Ovis aries: one gene and its partners. The protein of the gene in region 1 purifies or fractionates together with the protein of each later gene. This does not show direct contact. Links are inferred from orthologs where the notes say so. Each region holds a gene or a part of one and is shown in the gene's direction. Other genes may lie near its edges.

What was found.
Region 2: the proteins of FGFR1OP2 (region 1) and STRIP1 purify together in Homo sapiens (affinity purification with mass spectrometry; 3 studies listed by BioGRID and IntAct, with this or other methods). This does not show direct contact. The link is inferred for Ovis aries from reciprocal best matches to the Homo sapiens genes FGFR1OP2 and STRIP1.
Region 3: the proteins of FGFR1OP2 (region 1) and PPP2R1A purify together in Homo sapiens (affinity purification with mass spectrometry; 5 studies listed by BioGRID and IntAct, with this or other methods). This does not show direct contact. The link is inferred for Ovis aries from reciprocal best matches to the Homo sapiens genes FGFR1OP2 and PPP2R1A.
Region 4: the proteins of FGFR1OP2 (region 1) and STRN purify together in Homo sapiens (affinity purification with mass spectrometry; 4 studies listed by BioGRID and IntAct, with this or other methods). This does not show direct contact. The link is inferred for Ovis aries from reciprocal best matches to the Homo sapiens genes FGFR1OP2 and STRN.
Region 5: the proteins of FGFR1OP2 (region 1) and STRN3 purify together in Homo sapiens (affinity purification with mass spectrometry; 5 studies listed by BioGRID and IntAct, with this or other methods). This does not show direct contact. The link is inferred for Ovis aries from reciprocal best matches to the Homo sapiens genes FGFR1OP2 and STRN3.
Region 6: the proteins of FGFR1OP2 (region 1) and STK26 purify together in Homo sapiens (affinity purification with mass spectrometry; 4 studies listed by BioGRID and IntAct, with this or other methods). This does not show direct contact. The link is inferred for Ovis aries from reciprocal best matches to the Homo sapiens genes FGFR1OP2 and STK26.
Region 7: the proteins of FGFR1OP2 (region 1) and STK24 purify together in Homo sapiens (affinity purification with mass spectrometry; 4 studies listed by BioGRID and IntAct, with this or other methods). This does not show direct contact. The link is inferred for Ovis aries from reciprocal best matches to the Homo sapiens genes FGFR1OP2 and STK24.

What each region holds. Positions count from the first base shown.
Region 1 is NC_056056.1:188,458,376-188,461,875, reverse strand, and holds part of FGFR1OP2 (FGFR1 oncogene partner 2), read left to right. Parts: intron 1-3,338; 5' UTR 3,339-3,340; coding exon 3,341-3,475; intron 3,476-3,500. UniProt on the Homo sapiens protein: May be involved in wound healing pathway.
Region 2 is NC_056054.1:87,345,645-87,349,697, forward strand, and holds the start of STRIP1 (striatin-interacting protein 1), read left to right. Parts: upstream 1-1,253; 5' UTR 1,254-1,265; coding exon 1,266-1,445; intron 1,446-4,053. UniProt on the Homo sapiens protein: Plays a role in the regulation of cell morphology and cytoskeletal organization. Required in the cortical actin filament dynamics and cell shape. Part of the striatin-interacting phosphatase and kinase (STRIPAK) complexes.
Region 3 is NC_056067.1:58,174,942-58,178,278, forward strand, and holds the end of PPP2R1A (serine/threonine-protein phosphatase 2A 65 kDa regulatory subunit A alpha isoform), read left to right. Parts: coding exon 1-138; intron 139-1,388; coding exon 1,389-1,531; intron 1,532-2,197; coding exon 2,198-2,289; intron 2,290-2,418; coding exon 2,419-2,435; 3' UTR 2,436-2,837; downstream 2,838-3,337. UniProt on the Homo sapiens protein: The PR65 subunit of protein phosphatase 2A serves as a scaffolding molecule to coordinate the assembly of the catalytic subunit and a variable regulatory B subunit.
Region 4 is NC_056056.1:87,162,962-87,166,461, forward strand, and holds part of STRN (striatin), read left to right. Parts: intron 1-2,468; coding exon 2,469-2,644; intron 2,645-3,500. UniProt on the Homo sapiens protein: Calmodulin-binding scaffolding protein which is the center of the striatin-interacting phosphatase and kinase (STRIPAK) complexes.
Region 5 is NC_056071.1:39,429,698-39,433,728, reverse strand, and holds the start of STRN3 (striatin-3), read left to right. Parts: upstream 1-1,231; 5' UTR 1,232-1,548; coding exon 1,549-1,830; intron 1,831-1,956; exon of another isoform or gene 1,957-2,091; intron 2,092-4,031. UniProt on the Homo sapiens protein: Calmodulin-binding scaffolding protein which is the center of the striatin-interacting phosphatase and kinase (STRIPAK) complexes.
Region 6 is NC_056080.1:102,852,749-102,856,855, reverse strand, and holds the start of STK26 (serine/threonine-protein kinase 26), read left to right. Parts: upstream 1-1,307; 5' UTR 1,308-1,442; intron 1,443-1,544; 5' UTR 1,545-1,653; coding exon 1,654-1,695; intron 1,696-4,107. UniProt on the Homo sapiens protein: Serine/threonine-protein kinase that acts as a mediator of cell growth. Modulates apoptosis. In association with STK24 negatively regulates Golgi reorientation in polarized cell migration upon RHO activation.
Region 7 is NC_056063.1:74,810,233-74,813,732, reverse strand, and holds part of STK24 (serine/threonine-protein kinase 24), read left to right. Parts: intron 1-2,537; coding exon 2,538-2,723; intron 2,724-3,500. UniProt on the Homo sapiens protein: Serine/threonine-protein kinase that acts on both serine and threonine residues and promotes apoptosis in response to stress stimuli and caspase activation.

The sequences.
Region 1 (3,500 bases):
CATCTCAAATCTTTCACAGCTTTCTCTAGACTTTGCTTTTTTATTTTCTTTCAACATCTGTTGCAACCATTTATTTTTACTGTAAGACATTTTTTTCTGTTTTTAAATGTAATTTTACTCTAAAAAAATCTGATGTTCTATAGTTAGTGGAATTGATGGGAGATATGGAGATATAGGGGCTTCCCTGGTGGCTCAGATGGTAAAGAATCTGCAGTGTAGGAGACCCAGGTTCAGTCCCTGGGTCAGAAAGTGGCTAACCACTCCAGTATTCTTGCCTGGAGAATCCCATGGGCAGAGGAGCCTGGAGGGCTGCAGTCTGTGGGGCCACAAAGAGTCAGACACAACTGAGCAACTAACACTCACTCAGAGAGAGATGAAAGTAAAGTGAAAGTGAAGTCGCTCAGTCGTGTCCGACTGTTTGCGACCCTGTGGACTGTAGCCCGTCAGGCTTCTCTGTCCATGGGATTCTCCTGACAAGAATACTGGAGTGGGTTGCCATTTCCTTCTCCAGGGGATCTTCCCAACCCAGGGATCGAACCCGGGTCTCCTACATTGCAGGCAGACGCTTTATCCTCTGAGCCACCAGGGAAGCCCCCCATAGAGATACAGTGAATTCTCCATAGAGATACAGTGACCCCCATATAAATAAGAAAGCTGTACTGTTGCCTAGCTCTGCTGCTGCTGCCAAGTCACTTCAGTCGTGTCCGACTCTGTGTGACCCCATAGACGGCAGCCCACCAGGCTGCCCCATCCCTGGGATTCTCTAGGCAAGAATACTGGAGAAAGCTGTACTGTTGCCTAGCTCTAATTTTAGGTAATTCCAGAAGGGCAAGGCCTTGTTGGAGGACATCTTAGATAGATTTTAATGACTGTCCTTTCGTGTTTTAACCTACAGTAAGAATTGGTTCCTTTAGTGGCCCCTTTTGCTGTTGTATTTTGAAGTGCCCTTATCTAAATCTCCTAAATCTTTGAAGACAAATATTTTGGTTGTTTTATCTAGAGAGACAGAAGTTGTATTAATTTCCAGCTTAATTCTTAAAGATCTCTGGAAATGTCTGGTCATATAGGGAACATTTTATAAATTGGCAGTTTTATTTTATTTTGATTAAATCTTTTTATTCAGCTTTGAACCTGTTTATAAAAACAGGACAATATACTCTCTGCTTCAGCTGTTGGGTACAACCAAGAATACTGTTTGAATTTTTTTCATCTTTATTTAATTTGCAATTTTTAATCTTTGCTAGGTATAATCTTAATGAAAGCCTGCTAAAATGGTGGGATGTGTTGTATTTTCTTTCTTTTAAAATGTTACACAGTTGGGTTATTTAAATCTCTTGCTGCATTTTTCTGTATCTGAGGGGCTAACAATTAACCTAACGAGTCCCATGTAGTAGTATCTTAAAAAGACCTATATTCTGTCTTCCTAAACTTGGTGAAAATCCTTAATTATAGCCCTTAACTTTGTTCTACACATGAGTTTTAATTTAATTGCTATAGATTTGGCTTATGACATAGAAACATTACAAAGTAATTTTATTTTTTGAGAAAATCGTAAAGGGTGGCTCGTATATTAACAGAAAATAAGGCAAAACAGTAGAAAGAGAAAAATTCAAGAGTGATCAGTGTCAGAATGTTAAAGTTTTTGAGAGATTTTAAAATAAAAATTTTGTTTTGAGGTCTCGGCGTATCAGTTGAAGAAGCTAACTGTTGGCTGTGTTATGTTTTGTCTCCTGGCCTTTCAGCCTCTTTTATACATTTGAGTCACTGACTTTAACGTATCAGAAGCTTCCCGTAATGGCCAGTGTTGCTCTAAGTTAGCACTTCCTTTGCCATTTACTAAGGAAAGTGCGAGAGTTAGAATTACTGAGAATTTTCCTATGAGAAGCTGAAGTTCCTCCAGAAGGAGGTTGATCCTTTAGTGTAGCATGACACGTAGAGGCCGCTTTGCCTGGTTAGTAGTGTACGTTTGTGGATGGTGTCTGAGGTCACCTGACCAAGCGGAGGCTAGGAGGGGTCATATGGTCGGAGACCTGACAGTCACTGACTGCAGAATACAAAATAATAAAATGACCTTTTTTCACAAATGGCAAGATAGGGATTGCCCTCACGAAGAGTGCAATTTCTATATAACATTCAGTTCAGTTGCTCAGTCTTGTCCGACTCTTTGCAACCCCGTGGACTGCAGCTGCCAGGCTTCTCTGTCCATCACCAACTCCCGGAGCTTGCTCAAACTCACGTCCATCGAGTCGGTGATGCCATCCAACCATCTCATCCTCTGTTGTCCCCTTCTCCTGCCTTCAATGTTTCCCAGCATCAGGGTCTTTTCCAGTGAGTCACTTCTTCCCATCAGGTGGCCAAAGTATTGGAGTTTTCAACTTCAGCATCAGTCCTTCCAGTGAATATTCAGGATTGACTGATTTGATCACCTTGCAGTCCAAGTCAAGAGTCTTCTCTAACACCACAGTTCAAAAGCATCAGTTCTTCAGTGCGCTGAAGAATCCACCTACAATGTGGGAGCCGCGGGAGACATGGGTTTGATCCCTAGGTTGAGAAGGTCCCCTGCAGAAGGGAATGGCAACCCACTCCACTATTCTTGCCTGAAGAATCCTATGAATAGAGGAGTCTATATAACATAAAATGTATTTAGTGAATGTACACTTTTGTCCCCACTGTATATTCAGGGTGTTTTAAATACGTTCTGATTTTGTTCTCAAACTTATATATATATATATATATATACATATATACATGTATATATGTATATATATATATATGTAAAGTAAGTAAAGTCACTCAGTCGTGTCCGACTCTTTGTGACTCCGGGGACTGCAGCCCACCAGGCTCCTCAGTCCATGGGATTCTCCAGGCAAGAATACTGGAGTGGGTTGCCATTTCTTTCTCCAGGGGATCTTCCCAACCCAGGTCTCCCGCACTGGAGGCAGACGCTTTAAACTCTGAGCCACCAGGGAAGCCCTATGTGTGTATATATATATACATACATACATACATACATACATATATATATATACACACACATACATATATATATAATGTGTATATATAAACACATATATGTATATATGTAGTATATAATTATATATATTTATATATGTTGTGTATAATTTCTTGAATATTATAAAATCACTTTCAAGTTTGTTCCATCTTAACAGGATCAAAACCACATGTGTTCTTAGATGGTTTTCATCCTGAGACAGTGAACGATTCAGTAACAAATATAGCTTAAGCATAATGTGTGTTAAAGTGGAACTAGAATAAGATTGATATGCCAGCTTTCTTTTGAATCTGTTTTTCGTTTTTAACCCTGTGTATTCCTTTAGAAATGAGTTGCACCATTGAGAAGGCACTTGCTGACGCTAAAGCCCTTGTTGAAAGGTTGAGAGACCACGACGATGCAGCAGAATCTTTGATTGAGCAAACCACTGCTCTCAATAAGCGAGTAGAGGCTATGAAGCAGGTTTGATTTTTTTTTCCCCCTGTTG
Region 2 (4,053 bases), on another chromosome or scaffold:
ACATGTCCAAAACAGACATCTTGATCTTCCTCCAAACCTATTTTCCTCTGACTTCTCTATTTTAATAAGCAATACAACCACCCACCCAGCTGCTCAAGCCAAAAATTTAGGACTCATCCTTTATTCCTTCCTATCCTGCTGATAGGATTCCAGTCTTTCAGCAAATCTACCTACACAATACAGAAATACCACATCAACCCAATGTTCCAACCTGGCGTAAGACACCATCATTTCCATCTATATAGTCTCTGAACCTGTCCACCCTCACCTACTCTTGCAACACCCCAATGCTTTCTCCAAAAGCAGCAGCAGGTCAGCACTTTCTGATGGTTTTCCATTTTACTTAAAATAAAATCCAGAGTACTTTCTATGCTTTTCTAGGCCCTATATTTATCTGGCCCCTGCATTTACACGGCCCTCATCTCCTACTGTTCTTCTCCTGGCTCACTCAGTTCCTGCCAAGCCACCTAGGAGGCTCTGCAGTTAGCTGGTCCCTCTATGTTACCTCCATGGATATTGGCATGGCTCTCCCTCACTTCTTTCAGAACTCATTCAAAATCACTCTCAGCCCCTCCTTCCCTAAGCAGCCTACCTAACATAGCCCAGCTGTACCTCGATCACTGTCACCTTCCAATGCCTTACAGTTTCTTTCGTTTCTTCTCAGCACTTATTTGTGAGCGCATTGTCTGGCTCACCCACAGGCTCTATGTTACAGATCATTTCACTTTTTTCATTAGTGTAGGAACTTGATTTTGTTCCCCATTCTCTTGCACTGCCTTTAGTCTAAGAGACATTCATTAAATGTTTGTTGAATGAATGATTAAAAGAATGTCGTAACTGTAATTGTTTCATTGATTTACTCATTCCTTTCCCACGTCTCCCCCACGTGAACGTAATCTCCATGAAGGCTGGGATCGTGTCCATTTTGTTCTCTACAATATCCCGCAAGCTTTGGACAGATCTGTGAAAGTAACAAGAGCAAAGCGATGTTAAAGGAAAGAGGGGGGTTCCACTAAACTGGCTGAGGGGCTAAGGGAGGTTTTGCAGATAAAACTGCGATCTCTAAACTGGAACCGAAACACAAACTAGAAGGGTAAGATTTCACAAACAGAGAAAATCTCGCGAGGTGTTGGACAGTCAAGATGGCGCTGGCATGTGCCGCCACACTTAATATGGCGACCAGGGCGCGTTCCGGGACGAAATCACGCGAGAGTTGCATCACAGCCATAGTCAGTGAATTGAGCCGGGGGTGTGGAGCCGCCAAGATGGAGCCGGTAGCCGGCACTCCCGGCCCGCTGATCATGAACAACAAGCAGCCTCAGCCGCCGCCACCTCCGCCGCCTGCAACCGCGCAGCCTCCACCTGGGGCACCGCGGACCGCCGGAGGTCTCCTGCCTGGTGGCAAAGCCCGAGAGTTCAACCGCAACCAGCGAAAAGACTCGGAGGTCAGGAGCTTCGGGGGGCGAGGCTAGCACCAGGCGGGCGGCGGCGGTGGACCCCGGCCCCATTTCTGGGCCACTTTCGGGTCCAGGCTGGGTTTCCTGGAGGGTTCGGCAGGGGAGTTGTCATTTACAGCGAAAGGAGCAGGAAGCAAGGCTGACATCCCCGGGAGTCGGAGGCGTGAAGCTGGGGTCCCCGACCCGAGCTCTGCCGACCGGGAGAACCTCCCGGAGCCCGTATTGGCTTTTCTGAGGTCCGGGCTGTGGGCGCGGTCTCCGGGCTCCAGCCCCTGGGAAGTCCGCCCCGTGCCCCATTTCTCGGGTGAAGAGTCAGTGACCTGCGTGCGCTCTAGAGGGCGGGGCGGCTACACCCCAGACCCCCTAATCATCTCCAGCTTCTGGTCCTGTGAGTTCCGCGGCGCACGGTGGCGGGCATGTGTGGGCTGGGAAAGGACTGGCGAGGGTTGGGAAGGCACCTCCGAGAAGGACTGAGCTAATTAATTAGCACTAATAGTATCAATACTACGCGCCTGTAGGTCGCGATGGTTGGAAAGGGGAGCAGTCTTGTTCTGCTCTGAGCTTAGCCACTGCAGATTCAGGCCACGGTTAGACAGTGCCCGGTGGTTGGTGTGCCCAGTCCACCCGATGCTCAACTGTTAAAGATCAGAAATAAATTAAACAGGCGTTGAGGCTCAACATCTCTCTTCTCTTGTTTAGTGGGCTGTTCCTCCCATTCCGGAGACACCGTAGTCTGGAGCTGACTAGTCACCTCACCCCGAGTTGAAGAATTACTCCCACTGCATTCCATTGTAGAATTCATGAATGAAGACACACACGTAGCAGCGTTTTAGGGCTTCTTAATCAGCATGTTCCCAGAGCACTTACTAGGAAATTTCTTTCACCTGAGACAACCCTGAGGCTGATTAACAGTCAGATGCTTATTAATGAGAGGGCATTTTTTCTTGTCCAGATATAATGTATCAGGTCATACCTGAGTGATGATGCTATCTTTAGACACCTGAAATCAGTACCTCTCAAGCTCTTGGTTTTGTTGGCAAGAACAAACCTCTGGTCAAACATCAAAATTTGACAAGTTCCAGTCAGATGCACTTTGAGCTTGAAGTGAATTATTTGAAAAAGCAATGAAACCGACCTTTTAGTAGCCCTTGCATGATGGGCTGATTGCACATCAGTGGTGACTGCTTAATAATTTTTCAAGTATGGAGGATTTTAAAAGTGGTAGGGATGAATCCAGTTTCATCATCAGAGGCATCGTAGTTGTTCAGTAGTTAACAATTTTCCTAAGTGTTTCTATTAAATGTACTTTCTACCCTTTAATTTCTATATAGATTCAACACATGGAAGGTCATTCAGTGAACACATTTAAGCTGAGAGACCTGTCAGAATCTATTTTCTTAGAAATACTGATACAGCTCTCTTTTGAGTCAAAGCTGAAATCAGTAGGCTGGGAGCCAGAGGCGTGCCTGCAGAACAGGGAGGCAGGTATTTGACGAGAGCCCACTGTGCGGCATCGTTTTAATTAGTCCTTAAAAAACCTTCAAGATAGATTTTTGTCATCCTCATTACATAAATGAAGAAACTGAAGCTCAGGAACTTATGAAACTGTGCAGCCTGTTGCCTCTGAATAAGAAGTAGAGTTATTTATGTTACTCATGTTTGAGGGTATGTTATGTCATTTTGTGGGTGGTCATTGTCTTCCCAAGTAGATAGTAATTAAGCTGAGGACTACCTTTTTCTTCACCTCTGTTCTTTTCCCAGAACAAGGCTTCCCAGATGGTGTGTTCTCAGTACTCACTTATTTCCAGCAGTAAAAAGATTCTTTGCCATAATCTCTCCTATGTGTGGGAGGGAAACCATTTCTGTTCAGCTGCTGCCTTCTCTGTCAGTTCTTGCTGAAATTTGAGAGAAAGGCAGGAAGACTGAGGGTGTCAATACTTATTTTGTACTGAGCTGTTGATAGCCCACTTGCTAAGTCACTTCAGTCGTGTCCGACTCTGTGTGACCCCATAGACGGAAGCCCAGGCTCCCCCGTCCCTGGGATTCTCCAGGCAAGAACACTGGAGTGGGTTGCCATTTCCTTCTCCAATGCATGAAAGTGAAAAGTGAAAGTGAAGTCGCTCAGTCGTGTCTGACCTCAGCGATCCCATGGACTGCAGCCTTCCAGGCTCCTCTGTCCATGGGATTTTCTAGGCAGGAGTACTAGAGTGGGGTGCCATGGCCTTCTCCCTGATAGCCCACTAGCCAGAAAGAAACGAGGCTTCTAAAGCCTTAGTACCATGTGGAATGATCATTTCATTGCATGGAACACATGGAAGCTTTAGTGTTCATTTATCCAACAAGTTGTTATTTGAGTATATGCTCTTCATTCAGTCACCCATGCCAAGTACTGTGCTGAGCATTGTGAAATCATGGGTGAGAAGAATGGACACTAAACAGACGCACAGGCGCATGTATAATTATGAGTTATGATAAGTGCCATGAAGGAGTAGTGCAAGGGGCTCTGAGAGGGCTTGGTAGGGAGAGCCGAACTAACCCAGAAGACAAAACATTGTGAGAAAACGTCAGAACAGTGAAGGCAGCGATGTGCTGTAAC
Region 3 (3,337 bases), on another chromosome or scaffold:
GCGGCCACCAGCAACCTGAAGAAGCTGGTGGAGAAGTTCGGGAAGGAGTGGGCCCACGCAACTATCATCCCCAAGGTCTTGGCCATGTCTGGGGACCCCAACTACCTGCACCGCATGACCACACTCTTCTGTATCAATGTGAGCGCCCACCGGCCCCCACCTCTCCCTGGGGGAGGGGAAGTAGACGGGAGAGGAGGAATGGAGAAGGTCCTCGGGGGAAAGCTGGCTTGGGAGTAGGAAAGTGATGGGATCTGGGGCCGTAGGGGTTAGTCCTTGGGGAACTGCAGGCTGGAACTTGGGGCTCCCTGGTCAGAGTATAGGGCCTTTGCAGGTGGGGACCTGCGTGGGGGTGACTGGGGAAATTTGGCCAACAGAACAGTGATGGCCAGGTCTGTCTGAGCACCCCCTCCTTCCTCACAAAATAAGTGATATTTATGATACAACGGTTAAAGCACAGTTTCTAGAATCAGACCTACTGTTTAATTCTAGCTCTGCCACATATTGACTGTGCACCTTGAGAAAATTACTTAGTGCCTCAGTTTTCTCACCTGTAAAGGGTTCATACCAACAATCACAGCCCCAGACTCCCGAGGCTGTGACATTGATCTGGTTATACAGCTTAGAACAGTGGTTCATATGTAATGTATGGTGTGTATGTAATATGCATATGTATAGTGTGTATGTAATACATAACGTATGGGGTGTGTGTGTGTGACACGTAACGTATGCTGTGTGTATATATGGTGTGTGTGTGATATGTATGCTGTGTGTGTGTGGTATGTAATGTATGGTGTGTATGTGATGCATATGTATGCTGTGTGTGTGATATGTATGCTGTGTGTGTGATATGTATGCTGTGTGTGTGATATGTAAATGTGTGATAAATAAATACAGTAGAAAGTACTGATAGATAAATACAGTAGAAAGTACTTGTATGTAGTCACGTAAATAAACCATACACTTAAATAAACTTAAAACCACTTAAACCACATAACTACAAATTAAAGAATGAGATTTAAAAGTTAGCATAAAATTGTTCCGGTAATCCCTTCCTGTGCATCACTCTGGAGACCACAGCACTAAGGAAGGGATCCCAGGGTCAGGAATCCAGTCCCATCCCCAGAGGATGAGGGAGACTCTGAGGAAGGGAGCTGGGGTGGGACAGTGTGGGCTGGGGGTTTTCAGGGCAGGGAGATGGTGGAGTGAAGAGGGTGTTAGGGAACCTGGGAACTTGTGGAGAATCAAGGCCCTCAGGCTGGGCGAGTCTGAGCTCAGAGTCCCCCTGATGCTCAGCTAGTTTTATCCCCAAGCCCGATGGCCACTAAGTGTCCCGGTCAGAGGGAGCGAGGACTCTGGGGAGTCACCCTCTGCTGCTCCCTGGCCTGCAGGTGCTGTCCGAGGTCTGCGGGCAGGACATCACCACCAAGCACATGTTGCCCACCGTGCTGCGCATGGCCGGGGACCCTGTCGCCAATGTCCGCTTCAACGTGGCCAAGTCCCTGCAGAAGATCGGGCCCATCCTGGACAACAGGTGAGGCCTGCCCCTCCTCCACACACGATTGCATTTGTATCAACTTCAAAAATGGATCAAGGGGGACGCAGGCGATGGAAGTGAGAATGGTGGTTATTTTGGGGGAAGGGCCTTGGGACGCCTGCACCTGTCTGTCCAGGACACAGCTTCACCCCTTAGCTTCTCTCTGAAGACCGCCTTCGTCCCCCAAACAGCTGACTGCCGCTGCAGAAGCATTTCCCTCGGCCCTTACCTCCCTGGGCCCCTGTAGGGCCGAGTCCCTCCCTCAGGTGCTCGCCTCTCCTGTTACTTGTCAGCAATTTGATCTGCCTTCTCCCAGTCTGGGCTCCGTGTGGGTGAGAGTCAGGAGGGTTGGGTTTTCCACTGTGTCCACACCTGATGGGCAGTAGGCCTCGGTATATAATGTTACACAAATACAAGGCGTCACGTGGCCGAGGCTCAGAGACTTGAGGGTTCTGGGTTTTCTGCCCCACCTTTCCACACCACCTCACCTCCCTATACCTATTCTGGGCCCCCGAGGCCTCTGTCCTGGTTTGTGAGACTTTCAGCCTTCCAAGTACTGGTTGCTCTGGCCCTGAGAGCTCTCGTGCACCTGTGTGTCTGCGTCTGTGCAGACACCCAGCAGCCCCACCTTTCTGACCCCTCGCCTTTCCCCTCTCTTCCCAGCACGCTGCAGAGTGAGGTCAAGCCCGTCCTCGAGAAGCTGACCCAGGACCAGGACGTGGACGTCAAGTACTTTGCCCAGGAGGCTCTGACTGGTGAGGCGTCAGGAATCCGAGACGCTGGCAGGAGCGGGTGGGGGTCTGCGAGGGCGATGCTTGGCCTGGGAGCGGCTGTGGGCAGCGGGCTGGCTGCCTTCTGACTCCCGTCTCTTCCTGTTCCCCCAGTTCTGTCTCTTGCCTGATGCTGGAAGAGGAGCCACCGCCAGCCTCCGGTGTCCGCCCTCCCCCTCCAGGCTCCTCCCTGGGGGGACAGTGGGGGCCTTTGGCTGTCACTCCCTGTGCATGGTCTGACCCCAGGTCCCTTCCCCGGCACGGTTCCTCCCTCAGCCTGGGACATCCACCCCCCCACGGGGCTGGGGGCGCACAAGGTGGGACAGAGCAGAGACCCTGGGAGGAAGGGGCCACTCCCGCCCTTTGGGGTGAGGCGGGAGCATCCCAGGTCGCCGGCTCCTGCTGCTGTATGGGGACCCCTCCCCCATCTCCACCTCCCTCCCTTCCTCTCGGTGGGTTTTTTGTGTCAATTGTGCTGTTTTTATTTTATTCCCTTGCCCCCCTTTTCACAGAGAAATAAAGGTCTAGAAATAGCTGGTCCTCTGGTCTTAGTCACTAGATGGAGAAGGGGGCACCACCTCAGGGCCCCAGCCTTGCGCTTCTGTCTGGCGAGGACTGACTGGACTTGCCGCATCCCTGTCCTTGCGAGTGAGGAGGATTCCCTGGGAAGCCGATGGGAGTGCCCCTGGCCCCAGGGGCCAGCGGAGTCCTGAGGTGCACTTAGGTTTCACAGAGGCTGGCTGAGTGTGTGGTGGTTAGAGCAGGTGCCTTGGTGCCAGACTGCCTGCGTCCAGATCCTTGTCCTTCCATTAATAGCTGTGTGGCCTTGAGTAGGTGCCCAGTCTCAGATTGCAGGACTGTAAAATGGGGTAACAGACTCTAGATTGAGCGGGGCAGGAATGAAGACTAAACGAGGTAATACACACAGCGTGGGCAGTGATTGACGCGTGAGAAGAGTGGGCCAGGAGCTCTCAGGATCATCAGGGCCGCGGCAGAGCAGGCTGGGGACTGTGGCTAGACAGAACCACTGGTT
Region 4 (3,500 bases), about 100 Mb from region 1:
TCCTTTTTTCATAACTTAATTGTTAGAAAACTTAGTGTTAGTCTGTCTCAGTTTCTAAAAGTAGTTCCTAGTTTTATTAAGCATATTAGCAATCTATTGCTGCATAACAACTTGTACCACATTTAACAGCTTAGAAGAACAAACGTTGATATCTCACAGCTTCCATGGGTCAGCAGTCTGGGGACAGCTTAATTATGTGACTGGCTGTTTGTATGGTTGTAATCAAGACATTGACAAGGGCTGCAGTCTTACCTAGACTTGACTTGGGGAAAATTGCTTCCAGGCTCACTCATGTAGTTGTTTGAAGGCCTTGGTTTCTTGCTGACTGTTGTCTGGGAACCAGTTCCTCACCGCATGGACCTCTCTGTGGGCTCCTCAACAGAGCAGCTGGCTTTTCCCAATGTGAGTGCACCTAAAAAGATAGGGAGCAGAAACACTCGAGATGAAAGGTTTTATAACCTAATTTTGGAAGTAGTTTATTCCAACTTCTGCTGTATGCTGTTGATCACAGAGCATGCCTATAATGTGGAAGCGTGAAAGTGTTAGTTGCTCAGTTGTATCCAACCCTTTATGACCCCATGGACTATAGCCTGCCAGGCTTCTCTGTCCATGGGATGCTCTGGGCAAGTATACTGGAGTGGGTAGCCGTTTCCTTCTCCAGGGAATGAACCTGCGTCTCCCACATTCCAGGGAGGTTCTTTACCATCGGAGCCATCAGGGAGGGGGACTACCCAAAGGTAAAAATAGGTGGGGCTGACTGGGAACTTAGTGGCTGCCTACCACATCAAGATAATCAAAGGAATTTAAGTACTCTTCCACATGAAAACCTTTTAGCTCTTTTATAAGAATAAAAGAGGTCAGCTCGGTTGCCCTTGTCGTCCTAACCTTCCTGCCAGCCCTGCCTGCCCTCAAAATAATCGGCCCCATTCTTAGAGTAGTTCCTTGCATAATGTGTTTTGTTTTCACTCATTGCTTCCCAGGTGGCGCTAATGGTAAAGAACCTGCCTGCCGGTGCAGGAGACAAAAGAGACCTGGGTTTGATCCCTGAGTCCGGAAGATCCCCTGGAGGAGGGCATGGCAACCCACTCAAGTATTCTTGCCTGGAGAGCCCCATGGACAGAGAACCTAGTGGGCTATGGTTCATTGGGTCGCAAATAGTCAGACACAACTGGAACAACTTAGCACGCATGAATTGCCCCAGTTGTGACATGTCCTGTCCAGATTTCTCTGCAGATTTTTAAATGTCTGGGTTCTAAATTACAGTTTAATAGTATAGCCTCTGAAACCAGATTGCTTGATTTTGAATCCTGACTCCTCCATTTACTAGATGGCAAGTCACTTAACTTCTCTTTCCCTAAAATGGCTAGTCTGTAAAGTGAGGATACTGTTAATTCCAACATCATAGAGTTGTGAGGATTAAGTGAGTTAATGCTTTTTAAGTCTTTTGAATAATGTAGAAAATAATGAATGCTGTATAGAATATCAGTTGTTGTATCATTGATAATTTTTGTAACTGTGAGTATGGTAACATTTCTCTAATATATTACAAATACTTGCTTAAATCTACCATGATTGTTAGCCTTGGAGTGTGAAGTTCATCCATGGTGCTTGTGTAAAGTCAAACACTATCCTCTTTAGCTTTTCTATTAGTTGGAATGAAAAAACAGTGCATTATTTTTTCAGTTATTGAGATTGAGATTCTGTGGAGAAAGTGAAAGTCACTCAGTTGAGTCCGACTGTTTGTGACCCCATGGACTGTAATCTACCAGGCTCCTCTGTCCATGGGGATTTTCCAGGCAAGAATACTGGAGTAAGTTGCTGTTCCCTTCTCCAGGGAATCTTCCCAACCCAGGGATCGAACCCAGATCTCCCGTGTTGCAGGCAGATTCTGTACCATCTGAGCTACCAGGGAAGCCCTCTGTGGAGAAAAGGAACATAGTAAATATATAATTATGTTCGTAATATCTGATTGTCTTTTCCAATTTTAACATTTTGTTGTCAGTATATAAACTTCATTACCAATTTGAAGAAAATTTAGCTCTTGTCTGAAACCACTGAAAACTTTGAAAGTATCATCATATTCTGTAATGTTAACATGCTTAAAGATAATTTAGTTTTTCAACTCTTAACCAGAATTGCTTTATATTCTATAATTCAGGTTTAAATCACTTGTCTTTTTAAAAAGCATCCTAGTGAAATTTTGTTTTTTGTTACTAAGTTATTTGATCCTCCTTCTATACTGAATTATGTATTTTCTTATTATAGCATTCATATTTCTTCAAAGAAAACCATTGTTGACATATTGCTAATTTTGCCTATTGATTTGGTTATCTGCTTAAAAATTACATTATTTTGAAAGTTGCAAAATAATGGTAGTTTAATGATGAAACAGTAAGAATTAATGCTGAAATACAGTTTTTTCCCTCATTCTGAACTAAGTATATTGGTATCTTTTTTTTCTTTAATAGATAGCAAATAATAAAGATGCATTGAGGAAGACATGGAACCCCAAGTTTACATTAAGAAGTCACTTTGATGGTATTAGAGCTCTCGCTTTCCACCCCACTGAGCCTGTTTTGATAACAGCATCAGAGGATCACACGTTAAAAATGTGGAATTTGCAGAAAACAGCCCCAGCCAAAAAGTGAGAATATTCTACTTTAACTGTATTTGAATAATTTAATTAATATTTTTCAGCAGAGAAAGCCTTACTTTATTATTTGCTGTTAAATTCCTCAAATATCTCTTCTAATTTTTTTCCTTACCATGTTATGTAATTTAGGATGTTTTTGCCTTCATACTCATAAGCTAATTTAGGTTGAAAAACTGACCCTTAGGGAGAAATGGTTTGTGAATGCTGATTATAATCTTTATTTGGTGTTTTAAATAACTTAAATTTTGAGAACCCTTTGTCTGCGCTGGAGGTTTCTGTTGTTGTAAGCAGGCATAGTCATGTTTAAAACCGTCAAACCCCAACCCCAATCCTTCCCCATTGTTTACTAGGTTTGGCCTTATGCTGGAGCCGGTGGGGGCAAGAGACCTCTCTTTGATCCTTTCTTTTGATCTTGACCAAAATGTCTAGACTGAAGGGGTACTGTTGCTGCTCTCACTTATCTGCTAAACTTCCCTTGGCCCCTTGGTTCCTCTGTAAGCACGGACAGACATGAGTTGGTATAAACCCCTTTTATCAGTCACCAAGCTAGTCCTGATCCCACTTGGTACTTTCTCTTTCTTCCTTGGATTACGTGGTCCAGAACCCAGCATCTACCAGCAAGGGCCCTTCTACAGTGATAGATACCTCTTTTTATTAAAGAGTAGAAATGAACGTCAAATGGAGGAGAGGACAGAAGTTTTACTACTGACAGAGAATATCTCCTGCCCAATTTGAAAACAATCAGTGACATTCCAGCTGTCACACCTAGACGTTCATCAGACAGCTCAACTGGATATTGCTAAAACCAAGTGAATCTTCATGTAGATCAGGTGTCTTTAACAGAGAA
Region 5 (4,031 bases), on another chromosome or scaffold:
TACAGAGTGAAGTAAGCCAGAAAGAAAAACACCCATACAGTATACTAACGCATATATATGGAATTTAGAAAGATGGAAACGACAACCCTATATGCGAGACAGCAAAAGAGACACAGATGTATAGAACAGTCTTTTGGACTCTGTGGGAGAACGTGGGGGTGGGATGATTTGAGAGAATAGCATTGAAACATGTATATTATCGTATGTGAAACAGATCACCAGTCCAGGTTTGACGCATGAGACAGGGTGCTTCGGGCTGGAGCACTGGGATGACCCAGAGGGATGGGATGGGGAGGGAGGTGGGGGAGGGGGGGCTCAGGATGGGGAACACATGTACACCCATGGCTGACTCATGTCAATGTATGGCAAAACCACTACAATACTGTAAAGTAATTAGCCTCCAATTGAAATAAATAAATAAAAAGATTCTGCTATGAATGACAATATTTGTGAGCCCCATTCACTTCTAAAACGTCTGTTAATCAGCCTCCTTTAAGTTTTCTTTCTCCCTCTATCCACTATCAAGATCTAAAGTTTTTCACCTTCCCTTCTCCCAAGAGAAAAATGAAAACAATCGCTCCTGCTCCTCTCTCAAACGCCCCAAACACAGCCCACCCCAGAACTGGAAAACAGTGAGGCAAAGTGGTACAGGTTGCAACTTGCGACTGGGGGGAGCACAGACTTTGGAACCAGAGCCCGGAGACAGGGAATCAGTCTTCACTTCCTAGAGGATCTGGGCTATTTGTCAAAAGAGAACGTCCCCAAAGCCCCGGGAACTGACTGGTGCTAGGAAACCAGAGAAAGAGCGGGTGACAAGCAGAGAAAGAGGCCCGATCCTCTGGGACTGCCAGAAACACGCAAGGAATGCAAAAGAAACGTCAGGAATCCGGGACCGGCTGCGGCCGGCTAGAGGGACCACTCAGGTTAAAACCCAACTCCGAAGGCAGAAGCGCCTCTGAGACTCTTGAGTGGGAAATGGCGCTGAGTGGATTGGCTGAGCGAGGGAAACCCACTCCTGAAAAGGCAGAAACCGACTCCCTCCCAAATGTCGGAGACGGTGACCCACAATCCGGTCCCGGCCACCAGACACCTCCAGCGAGCCTGGGGGCTGGCCTAGGGGCGGGGCCGAGCTCTTTCTCCGCCTCTAACGGCAGGCCGACTGCGTCCTCAGTACGCCTGCGTAGGGTGAGGCCGGACTCTATTTGGCTAGTAGGCGAGCGGCGGCATCGGCGTTCTCTACCCAGCATGCTGCGCGGGAGCGGCGGCCCTACGTCTATCCCCTTCCCAACCCTGCCCCCGCTTCCCACTCCCGCCGCGGCCCCCCCTTCCCCTAAAGTGAGTGAGTGAGACGGGCAGATGGAGGAGGGACTGTAATGGCGGCGGCCGGCAGCTCCCTGCTCTGACCCACGGCAGGCATACAGCAACGACCCCCTCCCTGCCCCTCTCTCTGCCGGCCTCCGCCCCGCCGCTAGCGCGGGGCCACCCTCTCCGGCCCTTCCCCCAGCCGTCGGCGTCTCGCCCTGCGCCCCGGCCGGGGCCCCACACACAATGGACGAGCTCGCCGGAGGCGGTGGTGGCGGCCCGGCGATGGCGTCCCCTCCACGGCAGCAGCAAGGACCCGGGGGGAACATGAGCCTTTCGCCAGGGGGGAATGGAGCGGCGGGCGGCGGGGGTCCTCCGGCCGCCGAGGGAGCGGGTCCCACGGCAGGCCCCGAGCTGTCCCGGCCGCAGCAGTACACTATCCCAGGGATCCTGCACTACATCCAGCACGAGTGGGCTCGGTTCGAGATGGAGCGGGCGCACTGGGAGGTGGAGCGGGCCGAACTACAGGTACCTCGCTGGGGTCGGTATGCGGGACGGCTGCGGCGGCTGGGTTCCCGGCCGGGGGTGGGGGGGGTGGGGCCGGGACTCCCCTCATTCGGAACTCGAGGCCTTGGGAGACCGAGAGGAACCTACCTGTGCAGCTCGGGGGGCGATAGTCCTGGAGACGGCTCTTCTAGAACCCCCCTCCCCCTTTCCCGCAGAAGCTTGTTACCCAGACCTCACTGGCTGCGCGGTGCGGGCTTCCTTGGGGCAGCCATTTTGGCTTTTAGTATGGCGTCTGCGGGGGCTCCTCCGGAGGCGTTCTGCGCGGGCCTCCGGGGTTTGGGGCCGAGTTCCTCTCTGTGGGAGAATCCGGCGTGGGGCTGTCGGGCACTGCGCTGGCTCCTGTTTCTGCCTCTTAAGATGGAGAACCCGAGGAGAGGGACTGGGTTGGGGATTTTACCACCTTTTCCCGGATCACCCCCCTGTTTCCGATTTGGCGTGACTGCCCCCCTCCCCCGGAGTTGGGAGCCCTTACTCTTTGACAGCCACGCTTCTTTCCAGGGCTGCTGCCGCGCACAATGGCTTGCGGCTGACCTGTGAAGTTTTCATTTCCTACCGCCAACTTTTAAGTACCTTTTTACCTGGGATGCTGCCTTATTCACTTCGATTCCCTTTGAGTTCGTCCTTAGTGACTGACTCATCAACGCTGCTCTGTACCGACTTTTTCTTTTAGAGTACCCTTCACCAGGCCTTCCTCTCCTCCATTCCCATCTTTACACACAAAACGCCAAACCAGACTATCTGTGCCGTCCTCAGGAAACGATTGAGAAAAGATTTAATGTTAGCTTGGAGTAAAACGTATTTGTTTCATGTTACCAGCTCGCACAGGGGCAGCAGAGTTAAATATCCTTAGGAGCCTTCATAATTGAGCCGGACTCGGTCTTAAGGTGAAACTTTTGAGATATTGGTTCACCTAACTTTTGGAAGATGTTGGTAGTTTAAGGGCTTATGTCTTGGATTTCAGAAGAGCTACATCTTTTTAACAGGATTGTTCAACTCTTTCGGATGTTTGTGTTTATTTTAAAATCACTTTCCAAGGCAAATTTAGGCTTAGAAGGAAAAAAGCAGGCATCTAAATAGTGCTGCACCTGTTCTTCAGACTGCTGTATATTTAGAGTGTATGTGGTATTGTTCACTGATATACGTGTCATATATGTCTGGGGTGAATGATTAGGGAAATGTAACGTTGAAAGAAGATTGGATTAGCTTAAAAGGGTTGTCCTGAAACAAATACATATATCTTCAGTTTGATATTGAACCAGTCGACTTTTTGTCTCTACAAAGTGGGGAAAGTCAAAACTTTTTAAAAGTAAGACATATATTTTGACACTTTATCAAAAAAGTGAATTCACTTTATCAAGTTGGCAATTCAGCGTTTTAGTGCTTTGATACACTATTGGGCTTTTAAAAATATATCAAAAGTGTTGTTTCTTTTCTGTGTGCTCTGCTTTAAAATATCTGGGACAAACAATTCTGTTGATGAACAACTTTCTATTAACACCATGTGCAAAAGGCATTTATTTCTGAAAACTGCATTTACAAATGCATTGAAGCCTAGGCTCACTAAATAATACTTCACCAGTCCCTAATACAGCATTTATAACCTTTGTACTGTTGTGGAAAAGCTTTAATTTAAACACTTTCTAAGTTAGTGAAAACATTAGTCATTGGTAAGCTTCACAAAATGTCTTACTTGTGTCTGAATTAGTAAAAATCTGTGCAACTTGAGGTCTACATTGTTTACCTTAGCTTTTGGTTTGCCTTCTAATTCTCCTCTTAACAGAAGTCTTTTAAGGAAAATTCATTTTGCTTGCTTGCTTTCAGTGTATCTACTGTTGGCACATTAGTTCGGATATAGCCATTTTAAACTTTTTGTTTACTTACTTTGAAGAAGTTATACGGTGTTTGTCTAGACTCTTGATTTTTTTCCCCCTAGGAATTTTTATTATGTCACACTGATTCTTTTGGAACAAAATGTTCATGATTGTGTGTTTTTCTTCTTTATATTTCTCTATAATGTTTTATTGGGCTACTTAGTTAATTTGGAATATTGAATTTGTTTTACATGTCCAAAGTCTTTAGTAAGAATGCTTGTGAGATGTCCATTTTAAAATGTATGGAAAATGTATTGGGAGAGTTTACATGAAGCATGAATAGATTTAAAC
Region 6 (4,107 bases), on another chromosome or scaffold:
TTCCCAGCCCTCCCACTTCTTAATTATGTGATATTTGGGTCAAATTATTCAAGCTCACTGAGCCTTTTTTTGCATTTCAGTAAAATGGAAGAAAGGTAATATGACCTCAGAGGGCCCTTGTGAAGATTCAGTAAGGCAAGACACACACACACACACACACACACACGCACACACACACATAGCACTTAGCGGTCCCTGACAGAAAATGGAACTCATTAACGATAGCTAAATATATTGATAACAATGACATGCTATCTTTTGAGACAGATTCAAAAGGAACAAGAGAAACATTTCTCGTCTGCCAGAGCCCCAACACCATGGTGGGTACAGCCCTACAATAACCTGCAAGTCAGGGAACTCCATCCTCATTTTAAACTGGCACTTGTGGTTTCCCAAAGGTGCCTTCCTAATGAGATGACTGCAATTGCTATTATTATTATTTTTAATCTCGTTACTGTTAGGTTACTCTCCGAAGAGTCTACCTCCCTGCTGGAGTGGAACTTCAAATGGGGTGGAGGCAGGGACTTGCCGAAACCACTGCTCTGTATGCTGAATTCAATAATACGTCCTGCGAATGACCCAATCTCATTTCCCAGGCCTCTATTTCCTCATTCATTTTTCTGCCTAGGTGCCATCTGTTTTCCAACTTCCGTCTCTCTTACACGTGCTTGTGATGCGGAGAAGCCCCAGTCTGATCGCCCTCCCCCACAACCGCCCAACTGGTAGCCCAAGAGGTAGGGGTAACCCCAGTTCTAAGGCACCTGAAGCCTGACGGGGGGCGGGGAATCCGGAAAGAGGAGAGCGGCCACGGACCCCGCCCAGCGGCGCGGCCCCAGCTGGGGACACGCGGGGGAGAGCAGGGGTCCGCTGACTCGGACTCGGCGGCTCTCTGCGCCCCCGCCCTCGACCACGTCGAGGACTCGAGAAGGAATTCCGACGCCCGCCAAGTTTCAACTCAACACTTCTCCGAGGCTGCGCCGCCCGTGCCCTCGCAAGCCTGCCTGCAACGTGGCCGCGCCCGGGACGCCCTCGGACCCCGCGGGTCACCCGAACTCTTCCCTTCTCTCTCCAGGCCGAGCCGTGCTCCACGCCCTCCAGTCCCCGAGCTCTCCTCTCCGTGGGCCAGGAGAGCCTCCCTCTTGTCGGGCTCCAGGAGCCCCAGCCGAGCCCCTTCCCAGCGCAGTCCTAGCTCTCCTGACACCGCCCGGCGGCGGGGCGGGGGCAGGGCCAGCGGCGGAACCGCCCCCAACCGCCTCCCGGGCCCGGCGAGCGGGCGGGTGGCTGGGGCGCCTCCACCTCCTCTTCCTAAAGCGGCGAGGCGCAGACGAGCGGCATCACTGGAGCCCAGGTCCCGGCCACTGCCACACACGGCGTCGGGCGCTCAGGAGCAACAGCAGCGGCAGCGGAGGCGGCGGCCAGAGCGGCGGGCGGGCGCCAGAAAGGTAGACTGAGTCCCGGGGAGCCTCGCGGCGGACCGCCCACCTCCCGGCCCCGGGCCGCGCGCGCCCCCCGCCCTGTCACCCAACTCGTGTGTGTCCTTCCAGGCCCGGGTCGAAAAGCCTGAGAGGGCCGCCGACCTACCCCCGGAGGAGGAGCCAGTCGCAGCCCGAGGCGCCGCCGCCGCCGAAGCCGCGCGGAGCCGCTTTCGCCTTCATGGCCCACTCACCGGTGGCGGTCCAAGTGCCCGGGATGCAGGTGAGGACGCCCGGGCCGCCCCCGCCGTCCACGTGACTGCCCGGGAGCTCGGGGCGCGCTCCGCGCTGGGCGCCGGCGACGAGAGGCGGCCCGGGGCTTCCCCGACCGAAGCCGGGCCGGGCGCTCCGGCCAGGTGACCCGGACGGAGAGCTCTCGGTGTTTCCCGGCGTGTAAGCTAGGCGGTGCAGTGTGCCGGCCGGGCGCGGAGGGACTGGGGCGCGCGGCTCTTTGGGGATGCCGGGGGCTGCGGGGGGGGTGTTAAAACAGGCAGGGGCGGGACACCTGCGCCGGCTGAGCTGGTGCGCTTGTGGGGGTGGGAATGGAAGCACTTCACTTGGAAGAGATGGAGGTGTCTCGGAATTCGTTGGGTAAAACGCAAGTGGTGCTTACACACACACACAAGTTGGGGCGGAGCAAGGCAAGGGGGTGTCGGTGGTGGCGGCTTTGAATTGGGCTCTTCCTGTGTGCGTAGAGCAAAGAGCGAGGTGACTTTTTTCCCCTTTTGGGGCTGCTGCTTTGGGGCCAAGTTGTGTCTCGCTCCCCCCACCGGGCGCAGCCCGTAGTGGGGTGTGAGAAACGCAGGGTCCTAAGTTAGAGCAGCGGTGGTGATGACTCTCCCGCCCCCGCCCCCGCCCCCGCCCCCGCCCCCGCCCCCGCCCCCAGCCTTTCCCACCGGAGGGCTGTGGCAGTGTGGTTGTTGCAAAGCTTTTTGTCCTGGACGACAAGATATTACGGCCTGGGACCTAACTTTTTATCTTTTACATCTTACCAGCCCTCCCCCCTTACATTTTCATTTTATTAAAGAAGAAACAAGCTATGTCCACAAACTTTCTGCATTGTTAGGTTTTTGAATCGGTGCATTTCAAGCTATCTACTAAATGTTATCCAAGTTGAGTAGCTTTTAAGCATTCACGTTTTATTTTTTTTCCTTTGCTAGACAGCCTAAACACCCCCACTTATGAATAGGTAAAAGACTAGAAGCACTTAAGCCTCATTATCTTCTAAAAATGTGAAAGCAAACGTTTTCTAAGTTCAGAAAAAAATGTTTGGTAAATAGCTATGTTGCTAGTAGAAATCAAAGCGCCATGGATTGGGGCCTTAATTTACTAAATAATGCATGGAATTCATCTTAAAAAAAATAACAGTTGGTCATATTTGATGCATGATCACACGAAAAAAGTGATTTTTAAAGTGCTTTCCCCCCAAAGGACTGTTTGTATCGGACATATATCTAACTTAGGACTCCTGTGTGTCCTAGGCACCAGGCCTTTCAGCTAAATATAGGATAAGTCTGGGTTGAGTCCCAGGAAATCGATGTAGTTCATTAAAAAAAAAAAAAAAAAAGAAAAGGAAGCAAAAGGGAAATGCGAGACATTAGGGCCTTTTAAAAGGTTAATCCATTCAAGCTTTACAAAATGCCTCAAACTTCCTTCTTCTCACGCCACCCTCTCCTTCCCTCCCTCCTTCCCCCCAGCCACTGCCCCTCACCCCATTCATTCAGTTCTGCCTTTGATTATGTCGAGAGAATTAGTAGTTTGCCTTATCAACTACAGTTTTGCTCTGTCTGATGTGGAAGAAAGTGGGGAAACTTTCCCACCGTGCTCTCCTTTCCTTTGGGGAGTAGAAGAGTCCGCATGTGAAGTTTGTCTCTGAGTGTCTCAGTACTCCTCGCTCCATTGTGTGCACGCGCTGCCTGCGTGCGTGCGTCAGCAGAGTGAGCACCTCCCGATCAAGTTTGATTCTGGGGAACCCTGCGTGCTGAGGAGAAAATGGTTTCTGGTCTTTATTTCATTTGTCTTGACTTTATTTGATTTATATGGTTTCTGGTCCTTATTTGATTTGGCTTTATTTGATTTACATGGTTTAGGAACTCCTTACTGTTCAGTATTTCTTATGGCTCCTTGCTTTGTTTCATTATCTGATTTCCCTATCTTTTGAATTTTTTAATTTTTAAAAATCTTCATTAAGGTGGGTTAGAATGTGAGTCTCATATTTTAAATGATAAATTCTGCCTTTCATTTTATTCCTACCCAAAGTTGTGATGGCTTTGGGAAGGGCAATCATCTCAACATTTGCCAAGAAGAGAGGAATACTTGTCACTGTCTCTGTCTGAATGAAATGGTAAATTCTTACCTTCTTATTTCCATGCTCTCTGTAGATGTGGTTCTTAAGCATTTGGGGCAACAAACAGGTTTTCCACAGTTAAAATTGTGGGGTATCCTAAAAACAAATTTGATGATTAGCAGCGTGACTCTCATGCCTAGACTACTGTGACTATTCTTTTGTTTAAAAGTAGTGAAAATGAGATGCAGGAATATATCACGAGCTTGTAAAAATTTTTTCTGCAAGAGTTAGGAGCAACTTTTAGATCTTCACAGTAGTGAGAAAACTTGAGTTAGCCATGTGTTCCTG
Region 7 (3,500 bases), on another chromosome or scaffold:
CTTTTCCCTGTTTCTCTAAGGGGAAGGATGTCCGTGGGTGGGCTGGACTGGGGCGGGGACCTTGCCCCCTTCTGTGCTCATTCCCTTCTGCCCTTGCTGTAGCTGAGCCCAGCGCCATGCCAGGTGATTGACGCTTCAGTGAGCCAGTGCGGCGCTGGGCTTCAGGGGCTCTGATTGTGAGCTGGTTCACGGGGCCGAGAGGGTGTCGGGCTGCACAGATGCGGGCTTCTCAGCCCTTCAGAGACAAGCTGGGAGGAGAGGAGAGACATTTGTGCTGGAATGTTGATCGACTTCCCTGCTAGCAACCCCTGTGGAAGCTGAGCGGCCAGCACTGGTGTTCTCCTTGTAAACAACTTTCCCCTTTTTTGGTCTCAAAAGCAGCACTTAGTCTTTAATCTGGAAAATACTGGAAAAAATGAGCGAAGGGGAAAACATCTGTAGGCCTAATACCCAAGCACAAGCTAAGTTATTTTGGTGTCCAGTCGCGTCCGAAATAACTGTTTGCAGTCACCATGGTGAAGGATGAAAACAGGTGATGTGTTGATGGAAAAATAAAGATGAGTGGAGACACGGTAGGACCGGCCCATCTGTTGGAATGTGTACAGCCAGCTGGTCCACTGGGTACGTGACCAACCCTCCCGTCCCGATGGCAGCCCATGGCCTCCCCGGCTCAATCCTCAGGGCCAGGAGTTCCCACCTCCTGGCTGGGAGGGATGCACTTTGCACACAGGGGAAGGATGTGAGCGGAGAAAGAATCCAGCTTTGTCCAAGCGTGAGGTAATGGTGGGGCCATGTATTGCTACGGAGTCGGTCTCAGACGGTTTCAATACCTCTCGTGCGACTTAATGTGTTTCTGAATATTGCATCTTATTGAATAGTTTCTATTAAATCCATTTTGGGCTGTGTTTTAACTAGTTATAACTGTTATTTGGGATTCTCCATTTTTTTTTTTTTCTCCTGTCTTCCTTTTTTTTTTTTTCTGGCTGCCCCGCACACTGTGTGGTATCTTAGTTCCCTGACCAGGGATCGAACCCATACTCCCTGCAAGGGACCCATGGATTAACCACTGGAAGTCCCCCTCTGTGGTTCTTCATAGAATATTTTCTATACATAAATTTTTTTAATACATAAAAAAAAAGTTGTATTTCGTCTGCAGAGGTGTAGCCAGGTGACTTTTGCTTAACTAAGTGTTACTGCGAGGATTTTGAGAGCTGCTGTTGGTGCCCCTCTTGGGTCCCCTCACCCCCACTGCTCATCAATAACGGATAATTCTTCGTTGTCACTTTTAGGAGAATGCTCCCCAGGACTAACCACATACGGAAAGAAAATCTGTTCACAAGTAAATATCTGCAGTTCAGCTGTGATTTTTTTTTTACTTAGTCTCATTTTTGAAAACCACTGTTGGTTTCCCTTAACAGCTGATTTCCCAAACGATGGTAAAACAGGTCTCCTCTTATACCTCAATTTTAGTTGCTTGAAAAATGATTGCCCTCTCCCATATAATTCTTATTTTAAAATTCAGACACATTTTAAAATCTGATGTTGTAAATCCTAGATACCGTAATAGACAAACTCAGTTGATTCTCTATCAGCATCAGTGTTGAATATTTGATACTTCAGTCAAGTTAATGTGTCATAGCAATATAGTCATTCTTCTAAGGTTTTAGCATAAGTAATGCTGTTTTTGAATATTTTAGGCATCCCTTACCATTTTCTAAATATAAAATTTATTTAGGATCGATTCCTAGACGTGAAATTAGTTGGCTTTAACAAGTGTGGGTATTTTTGTGACTTTGACTGCATAATGCCAGATTGCTTGCCATTTATTCAAGTGCCAGTCAGGGTTTCCAAGTTAGTCAGCAGGATGTTAGATATATGCAGGCGGAGCCTGCAGTCAGGAAGACCACTCTGGAGCCCCTCATGGAGCCCTAGGGACAGAAGACATTTCTGAACTAAGCCGGAGGCAGGAGGGGTAGATGGGGACTCAGGGCGCCAAGAGGTCAAGAGCCACACACCTGGCAGCTGGTTGATATAGGAGGACCAAAGAGAAGTTCCAAGGGTTGGGCCCAGGCTCCTGGCCTGGCCGCCTGGGAACAGGGATCTCATTTCATCCTGTTGTGGCTTAAGGGCTGGCTTCTAAGCATCTCTGGACGTGGTGGCTGCAAACGTGCTGTGGTCCCCAGACATGCCGTCTCCACTGACCTCAGGTTGCCTGTCCTGTTGACTCAGGGACTTAAACAAACGTGGAACGTCTCCCACCTCTGGCAGCAAAGGGAAGAGGTGTAATCATCAGAGCCAGCTTCCACGTCGAGGCAGAAGATGATATTATTACATGTCCTCCTGTGTGTTGCCTTTTTTGAAGTTACACCAAAGGCTTTATCTTTAACAAATTTTTTTCAGTTAAGAATGAGTATCTTATTCAAGACCTCAGAAGCACATTAGTTTTTGGTTTTGTTTTTTACCTTCTAGGAAGTACGTTTCTTTGAACCGCCTCCCCTCCGAATGTGTAACTAACTAGCTGTGTTTCGCTGTTGCAGGCGGACATCTGGTCCCTGGGCATCACGGCCATCGAGCTTGCCAAGGGGGAGCCGCCGCATTCCGAGCTGCATCCCATGAAGGTCCTATTCCTTATCCCAAAGAACAACCCCCCGACGCTGGAAGGGAACTACAGCAAACCCCTCAAGGAGTTCGTGGAGGCCTGTTTGAACAAGGAGCCGAGCTTTGTGAGTGTCTTGACCTGGGAACGGGCATCTCCCCCCATGGGGGCCTGATGGGTCTGGATGCGTCTTAGTGGTCTGTTTTCCTTCTCTGCTTTCAGCTGTCTTCATGATCTCATTTCTTTTTCTAAATGGGTATGATTGATTTTTTTCTGAAGTGGAAATGCTTATTGTTATTTTATCTTTTTAAGGCTTCAAAGTCTACTTACCGTCTTTCAGATTTTCTGGTATCTCCTACCGCATTGAGCTTTGAAGACTGTTCTCCTTAATATTCTATGTGGGATCATACATTTTTAATATTTATAGTGGAAGGTTGGGCTATTTTTAGCTGTTGGCGTATCTGCAAAGTCCGGCCTGAGAAACAGTGGCTAAGTAAGTCTTTAAAGTAAACGTTTTCGGTTTCTTCTTGGCATGTGTTAGGAAGGGAAAGAGGAATGAGATGTAAACGTAGTCCCGCCTTGCTTTCCCCTCTTCCTTCTGACTGTCTCTGCTTTTGAGTTGAATCTGGCAGAGCCATGTGGCAGAGATGACTGCATGGCTTCAGCCTCATTTTCTCTCTGAATTAGGATATTTCTTGCAAAGTTGTCTGTGTATTTTGGTGTTGCATGTCACACCGTATGTCCTTGTTGGGTTTCTGAATTTTCCAGCAGGGTTAGCCACAGGTCAGGCTGAAACTTCTAAACTCATATCCCCACCCCCACCCCCCCATTCCCTACAAAGAACTCTTATCTAAAAATATGCTTTTGTTGTTCAGCTACTCAGTCGTGTCCAATTGTTTGTGAC